Caenorhabditis elegans: one gene and its partner. The protein of the gene in region 1 interacts with the protein of each later gene in a pairwise test. Each region holds a gene or a part of one and is shown in the gene's direction. Other genes may lie near its edges.

Region 1 (4,765 bases):
GTGAACTTGAGATCTCGCCAATTTGCAGTAGTACAGTTCGTTTACGAAGTTGCTATTCTCAGGTTCTGGTTTTTCCGTCTTACTGAGAGACGATGAAGCGGAGCAATGAGAGCTCTCCGATGAGCATGACGACACTGACGATTCTTGTTTTCTTCTTGACATGATTCTCGTCTCACGACGAGCTGGAGATCTACTCTCCACATCGAGATTGTCTTTTTTGATGTGAGACTTGATAATCGTTAGGCCAGAAAATTGGCGGGACAAAGATCGGAGAATGGGGGTCTCGACTAGTTCCTTTGCTTCGTTCTCGTTTTCATAGAACACCTCGTCGTTTTCATTTTTAGCATTCTCCTGCTCGTCAAAATTTTCTTGAACATCTGCCTTTTCTTCTTCTTCTTCATTTTGGCTCTGTTTCAGAAAAGACTCCTTCCTGAACACAGGACCATCGCACACATCTTCTCCTTGCTCTTCTTTTTCGGTCTCATCAACAGTCTCATCGTCAGTTCCGCCACTTTCAAACTTCTGCACCAATCTGCTCACTTTTCGGAGGCTATTTAAAGTTTCATCATGAAAGGCTGACTTCTTTTTATCTTTGTTCGGGGTAAACATGATATCCTCCATCGCTTGCCTATAGATTCCAGCGTTGGAGTAGGAGAAGTCATTGCAACACGACATTGTTGTACTGAAATTTAAAAAAAATTATAGGTATTGTATAACCAGTTGAAAAATTGAGAACGTTAAAAAAATGTGGAACAAAAGAGTAAGATTGAAAAAAAAAAGTCCAAACAGTTGTTTTCGAGACGGAGAATAATTGAGAGTGTAAACAGAAGACCATTCGTTCAAATACAAAATGAAGAAAACGAGGAATTAGATATTTTTACACTTATTTATATCGATCGATATTGCTAACGCGACATTAGACTCTCATCCCACTCCTTTCCCGACTCTTCAACCCATAAATCGTCAGAGGAAAACAACATGTAGCAATGGGAACATTGACACCCTTCCAAGTTTGGCAGATAATCTTTGTTGACTGCAAAACTAATAACTAAAAACTGCAGCTTAACAGTGAAATCAGAAAAAATTGCACCATTTAATTTTGTTCTGTTGTTTCTACAGGCTTCTTCAAAAAAGTGACTGTCCACTATCTTCAGATTTAATTGAAAAAAAGCATAATTCAAATTTGGTTACTATATAACGCAACTTTGCTTCTGAGAAAAAAACAATAAAAAATGCATTAACTTGTAAGATTGAGAACACAAAAAAAAACGATTAGGCAACATTAAGAGCAAGAAAGAGGAGAACAATGGGCGAATAATCCAATATGTGGGAAACGGCATCTGTTGCAACTCATATCGTGACTGAATATCGGCTGACCTTCCCATCTCACCGCACAGTTGCGCTCATTACGCAACGAACGCTTGCACACAAAAAAGTATTCGATTGACTCGCCCAAACTGCGCACATCATTTACAACCACTTGCGTTGCGTGCACCGATACTGTCTGTCAACCACAATTTGTCTTTATTCTTGACAACGTTACGTTTTTACCCCACCTCTCGCTAATGTGTCCGTCTCATCAACATTTTATCTCCAATACGTTTCCTGTCATTTATCATTAATTCTGGTTTATTGTAGACATGAGTGAGGCGTCAAAATCGATTATGGATCTGCTGTCAGAAGTTGTCAAAATTACCGACATGACTATGGATAATGAAGCTGTCAATAAATTGTGAGTTAGATTTTTGCTTATGTGCTGCCATAAATCGAAGTTTTCAAAAAAAAAAATCAACAATCGTTATGTGATGGTTTGCGCTTGTTTTTTCTGATATTCCTATAATAAAAATTCTCAATATTGTTTCATGGGCGTGTTGATGATATAAGTATTCAAATCAAAATTATTAATAAGTTTCAAAATTTTGGTCAATGTTTATAGATGTTGATAACAAATGTTCATTCATACTTAAAATACTTTGATTAGTTTACGACTCAAGAAAAAATAATGACAAGATATGCTTTTAAGCAAAGTTTCGTAAAACATCAAATGTTTAATTTTTTTGATCAGCTTTTGTAGGCAATAGCCTGTCTCTAATTTCTTTATTTGAACAGTACCGCTCCTTAAAACATTGCTCTAGTTCAACTATCATCACAAACTTCTTGAAAACTATTTTTTGGAAAAACTTTCTTAAGCAAACTCTCCGCTGGAGTGCTTATGTTTTTCTTTCAACTTCAGTATTTATCATAATATTGTTTTGGTAACTATACATTTATGGAGAAGTTGCGATAAGATGAAAACCAACACTAGAGATTACTATCAAGATACAAAAAAGAAAAGAGGATATTCACTTCCTCCTGAAAATAAAAAATAAAAAATTGTCAAAAGTATTTATGAATTTTTCAGAAAACCACAAATCAAGATCAATCCATTCTACCGAGCCGTACAAGATGTTCTAGTTGAGCAGAAGTCCAAAATCGACCTATCGACAAAGATGATGAAGGATCTTGAAGCACAAGAGAATGATGAACGGCTGGATACCATGCTCAAAGCAGAAGGAGTTGCTGGACCCGATGATAGTTTGTTGCGTATTCAGGAAGCTGCTGGAACTGACCAATACGAGTATCGTCAACAACTTTTGAAAGTGAGACGAGAGCTTGAAAATGAGACAAAAGCGTTTGACAAGGTAAGATCGTCTCATATATCACCAACCAATATACAAATTTCAGCACTGCAAAAAGTGGTGTGAGTACGTTGAAGATGTTCTCCAGCAACAAGGAGAATTCCGTCCAATCACCCAACAGGTAAGCCATAAATCTACCGGTGAAAAGATTAAACCAATTTTTCAGTCAACCGAAAAGTTTATGAACAAGATGTCCGGTAAATTTAACAAGGTCTGTTTTGTACTAAAACAGACTGCCTGCGAAGAAGTTATCCAACTGAAAAAGCGTTATCTGGATGCTCGTCGAAAGAGAAGAAATTTCTCGAAAACTTCCACCGAGATTCTCAACGAGTACTTCCTAGCAAACATCAATCATCCATACCCGTCGGAAGAGGTCAAACAGGCCTTAGCTATGCAATGTAACATTAGTGTTGCTCAGGTAAAATTGAAAATACAAAATTACATACTAAAAAATATGCATAAAAAACTTTTGAAGAATATTACGATTTGCATGAAGATAATATTGATAAGGCCTAAATTAAAAGCTCGCTAAAATGCGCCATCATCACCATTTGCGTCAGCTGTCTCCTATTAATATTTGCGCGGGAGTTTTGAATAGGAAATGTTGAAACGGTGTTCAGAATTAACGAATGCTTTAGTAGTTTCTAGAAAATGGGAAGTAAGGTTTTCTAAAAGAAACGCAAAACTAGTTCATTATTCTTTGGAATATAATTGTGGTTACATAAAATAATCGCTGTTCTATAGACACGAACCTAAAAATTATGCAACTTTTTTAAAAACTATTTTTGTCACTGTCAATATTGTCAGTGTTTCTTAACACTCTATCACTCTATTTGAAAAAATTTAGTCCCAGATATCTGCATACAATCTTACAGTAGTTTACAGTTTATTTTCAGGTATCAAACTGGTTTGGAAATAAGCGAATTCGCTACAAGAAAACAATGGCTAAGAATGAGGATGAAAGAAGAGAAAACAGAAAACCAGAAGATCGCCCTCCGCCTGGAGCTCCTGGAGCTCCGTATAGTCTGGTACCCAACGCGTTTGCAGGAATGATGAACCCATATCAGATGATGTTACCTGGTCATCAATTTCCCATCGGTGTTGCCCCTTTCAATTTTTCCATGTACAATCCTGAGATGGTAAGTTTTCATTTCAAATACTGTGAACTTGCAAAAATAGAGCAATATATGTAGTTTGTTTCAAAACCCGGATTTTTGTTAAACTTGAAAAAAAACTCGTTCTTGGATACATCAAATTCTGGAAACGATGTACTCCAAGTTGCGAGCAGCTGGAAAAGTTGAGAAACTAGGTTTTTTCTTACTGCCAGATTTTGAAATCATGCATATTCCGAAAAAAACAGTTTTCTCATTTTCAGATGGCCCAATATCAACAGTCTCTACAAAACCCAAATCAAACTCGATGACAAACTTTAATAATGCTGGTACTGAGTACTCATTCATACATTTGCCATGATGTTATAAAGTAATAAATTCATTGAAATACATCCTGTGTTCCATAAGATGTATTACTTTTTTAAGAAATTTATTTGATACTGACCAATGTTTTTGGCTGCAAAATGCAACATCACAATTTTTAGACAAGGGCTTACAATATAAATGAGGTAACAAGAACAACATAACTATTCACAGAACAGGAGATTTTCCTGAAGCGTTTTTAAAAATGTTGAGAAAGTGGTGATATTGAAAAAAAAGTTGAAATTAATTAAGTTTTTAAGAACTCAGGCCAGTTATATCCATAACAAGTAGTAGTATGAAATTTTGGTGGAACTGCGAAAATAACATGCTGAAATTGGAAACTAATGTAAAATTATATTATCTAGCGGTTAGAAACAAAATGGTGAAATGAAAATCTATGACAACCATGAAGTGGAGAGGTATTGAAAATGATCCGAAGTATAGGGAATTGATTTGGTCTGATATGATCCTATTTAAACATTTCCACATTTTGCTGAATACTTTGATATTTTGATTACTGCCTACGTGGTCCATTGGGCACAAGAACTCCGGGAGGAACATCAACTGTTCGCTCGGTCCAAAAACGATCTTCGGAATATTCGATCATCGCGT
Region 2 (3,305 bases), on another chromosome or scaffold:
CCAAGGACCACCAGGAGAGGATGGACGCCCAGGAAACTCAGGACCACAAGGACCACCAGGACCACAAGGAGAGCCAGGACAAGATGGAGCTCCAGGAAACCCAGGAGCACCAGGAGAGGCTGGAGAGCCAGGAAAGGACGGAGCCAAGGGTAAGTATTTATTCAATTTTTGTACATTTCTCTTATCATTCCCTAATTCCAGGAGGATGCGATCACTGCCCAATCCCAAGAACTGCTCCAGGATATTAATTCCTCAATTGCTATTTTCTTGCTTAAATTATTTCTCTTTCTCTCTACTTGTATTTATAATACCTGTCGAAACATTTCACGGGGCTCTTCAACAAGAAACCAATAAAACTATTGAAATTAATTGAACTTGTAAAGAGAATTGGATGAATAGGAAAAGAAAGGTGAAGAGATAGAAAGTGAAAATGAGTGAATGTAATGATGGACGGTCATTTAAAAGGAAGGTGACTCGTAAAACAAAACTATTATGATTCGTTTAAAGAACGGTGACAATGTGGAAAAATATTGGTAATAGAAATTATGAAAACACAAAAGTTAAAGAAGCTCTTCGATACGCTTAGTTTTGAGCTTAAGGTTTTGAAACTTTTTTTCGCGTTAACAAAACTTAATTCACACTAATGAATCAAAAAACTAATATTTGAAATTTAATTTTTTATAATTTTTAAAAAAATTCTTTACGGCGAATAAACTCTAGGAAGACCAAAACTTTAGAGTAGTTACCAGATGCGAAATTTTATAGAAACAATGGCAACGTTGAGCTGCGGAATGTAGGCCTCCAGCTAGTTGTGGAAAATACATCACGAGGCATAAATGTGATCAAAACCTGCCTGTAAATTTCAGTTTTAAAGTAATTTTTAATAAAAATTGAATTGTATACTTTTTTTGTGGACACTTTTTCAGACGAGGCTTTTTATCAACTTTTTTTGTGACCTCAACTAGTGGAAATTGGGAATGGGCACAAAAACATTTTCTGCAATTTGGTATTTGCCACTTTTGGAGCTGTCAAAAAAGAAATAGGCTTCTCACTCTTTCAGCAAACCGGAAAAGATCGAGCTCAAAAACTTGGCAGTTGTGAGGTAAAATTTCGGAAAAGTTAAATTGCAATGAATTTTAAAAAATGAATACCTGAAATGTTTTTCTGTCACATAACAAAAGCTCGTCCCTTTACCAAATTATAGATTTTGCAATGTTCTACTCGGAATTTTGGATTGCCGAATGGTATTATCTGGTTTTTATTGACACTCGCGAAAATAGGTTCTAAAAATCCTGAAACATTTTCAACAAAGGAAAAGTTTTATGTTGCTACCCCTATCAAATTTTAAGAAATAACTTCCGTCATTTTTCTATTTTCCATCACAACGGCACGATTGCCGATTGCAAGGAATGATAACAGTTCAGATCGGTTCGTTTTTCTGTTTTCTTTTTTCTTCCCAGGCAACGGTCTTCTACGTCTCCCTTCAAGCCAACCCCGAAAACCAATCAGCCCCCAAATTGTCGAGCGTCTCCAATTTTCAGATGATCCCTCTTCAAGCATCTTCTTTTTTTTCCTGGAAAGCCTACTCCCACTCTCCTATCTCTAGTAGTTACTGTACACCGACGCTATCGGTTCCCAAGCGAAACTATAAAAGAAGGGGTCGAAAGTTGTGGAAACCATCACACTAACGGACATGGCCGACGAGAAGTCAATCAAGTACGCTGAGGCGGATTCCGTCAAAAAATTCGCCTTCTTCGGTAATTATTTTTTAAAAATCAATTTCTTTGTTTTCAAAAACTTTAATATATTATAAGATGTTTAATATCATTTTGCCAAAGATTATCATAACTCCTATTATTCAATTGTTCACACTTTCATTTTCTAGGTGTGGCTGTTTCCACCATTGCCACCTTGACGGCTATCATTGCCGTGCCAATGCTCTGTCTGCACATGCAAAATGTGCAATCTGGCCTCCAAGAGGAGCTTGTCTTCTGTAAATCAAAGAATGCTGATCTTAAATCCGAATTCTTCAAGCTCGACAAGGTCCGATCTAACGCTGTTTCTGATCGTCAAAAGCGTCAGTCTGAGTACCAATGCTGTTCTTGCGGAATTGGAGCCGCCGGAGCCCCAGGATCTCCAGGAGAGGACGGAGCTCCAGGAGATGATGGAAAGCCAGGAAATGATGGAGAGCCAGGTCGCGATTCTACCGATAAGGACGAGAAGCCAACTGCCGCTGACTTCTGCTTCGATTGCCCAGTTGGACCAGCTGGACCAGCCGGAGGACCAGGACCAAAGGGACCACCAGGACCACCAGGAGGACACGGAGAACCAGGACCAGCTGGACGTGGAGGACCACGTGGCCCACCAGGACCAGGAGGACCACAAGGAGAGGCCGGAGAAGATGGAGGAGCCGGAAACCCAGGAACTCCAGGACAAGTTCGTTCTCTTCCATCCCCACCAGGAGAGCCAGGACAACCAGGAGAGCCAGGAGGTCCAGGAGAGCCAGGAGCCGATGGACGACCAGGACACCCAGGAAGAGCCGGACCTCCAGGACCACCAGGAGACAATGGACCAAACGGAGAGCCAGGAAAGGACGGGGAGGATGGAGCTCCAGGAGCCGCAGGAAACGCCGGAGCCAAGGGATCTTGCGATCACTGCCCACCACCAAGAACTGCTCCAGGATATTAGATTGTCTTTCTATGTTTTTAAATTCTTCTTTTCTTTCTGGTCGTTTATGTTTTTCACTCAAAATGAAGAACTTTCGAGTATATTAGTTGATTCGAATTATCATATAAGTGTGTTTTCAAAAAAGTTTAGTTCAACAACAGGAAGTTTCTTTCAGAAGCGATTTCAAACTTGATAAGAAGATACGGTAATAGTTCTAATGACCATTGAAATAGTTGTAGGAAACCATTTATGTCTGGTGAATGTGTTGCCATAGATACTACTACGTTTCATGTAATTTTCGATGAAGATGTCAGACTGGTCACAAATCCTTTTGATCTATAGGAAATGCGCTCAACCGAAAAATGATAAAAACCAAGTCATGTCGCTTTGATTCGAGATTCTTCTATAAATCTGAAGCGGTTTCCAAGAAGCAATTTAAGTCAAAAATAAATTTAGAAATATTGAAAAATATTTGATTAATTTAAAAATAATATTCCTAACTAATAAAATGTGCAAAAAAACATCTGAAAACTGGCTGAAAGTTGTCGAAATTTTGAGGGCCGTGTTTGAGGATTTTTCCAACGTTTTAAACATATTTTCCAATAAGTTGGATTGTTAAACTGAAAATTGACAATGTT

The links. Proteins that work in one complex are often made in the same cells at the same time.
Region 2: the proteins of ceh-40 (region 1) and col-20 interact in a two-hybrid assay, tested with the Caenorhabditis elegans proteins (one large-scale study listed by BioGRID).

Annotation. Positions count from the first base shown.
Region 1 is NC_003284.9:12,317,576-12,322,340, reverse strand, and holds ceh-40 (Homeobox protein ceh-40), read left to right. Parts: upstream 1-1,563; 5' UTR 1,564-1,640; coding exon 1,641-1,732; intron 1,733-2,401; coding exon 2,402-2,681; intron 2,682-2,724; coding exon 2,725-2,799; intron 2,800-2,844; coding exon 2,845-3,096; intron 3,097-3,574; coding exon 3,575-3,817; intron 3,818-4,053; coding exon 4,054-4,101; 3' UTR 4,102-4,215; downstream 4,216-4,765. Other genes in the region: F17A2.13 (uncharacterized protein), read right to left, coding at 1-675; xtr-2 (MX region of TRA-2 Related), read right to left, coding at 4,668-4,765. UniProt on the Caenorhabditis elegans protein: Plays a role in regulating gene expression in dopaminergic neurons, acting redundantly with homeobox protein ceh-20 in head neurons.
Region 2 is NC_003280.10:4,869,160-4,872,464, reverse strand, and holds col-20 (Nematode cuticle collagen N-terminal domain-containing protein), read left to right. Parts: upstream 1-1,673; 5' UTR 1,674-1,693; coding exon 1,694-1,757; intron 1,758-1,885; coding exon 1,886-2,688; 3' UTR 2,689-2,795; downstream 2,796-3,305. Other genes in the region: col-73 (Nematode cuticle collagen N-terminal domain-containing protein), read left to right, coding at 1-149, 202-248.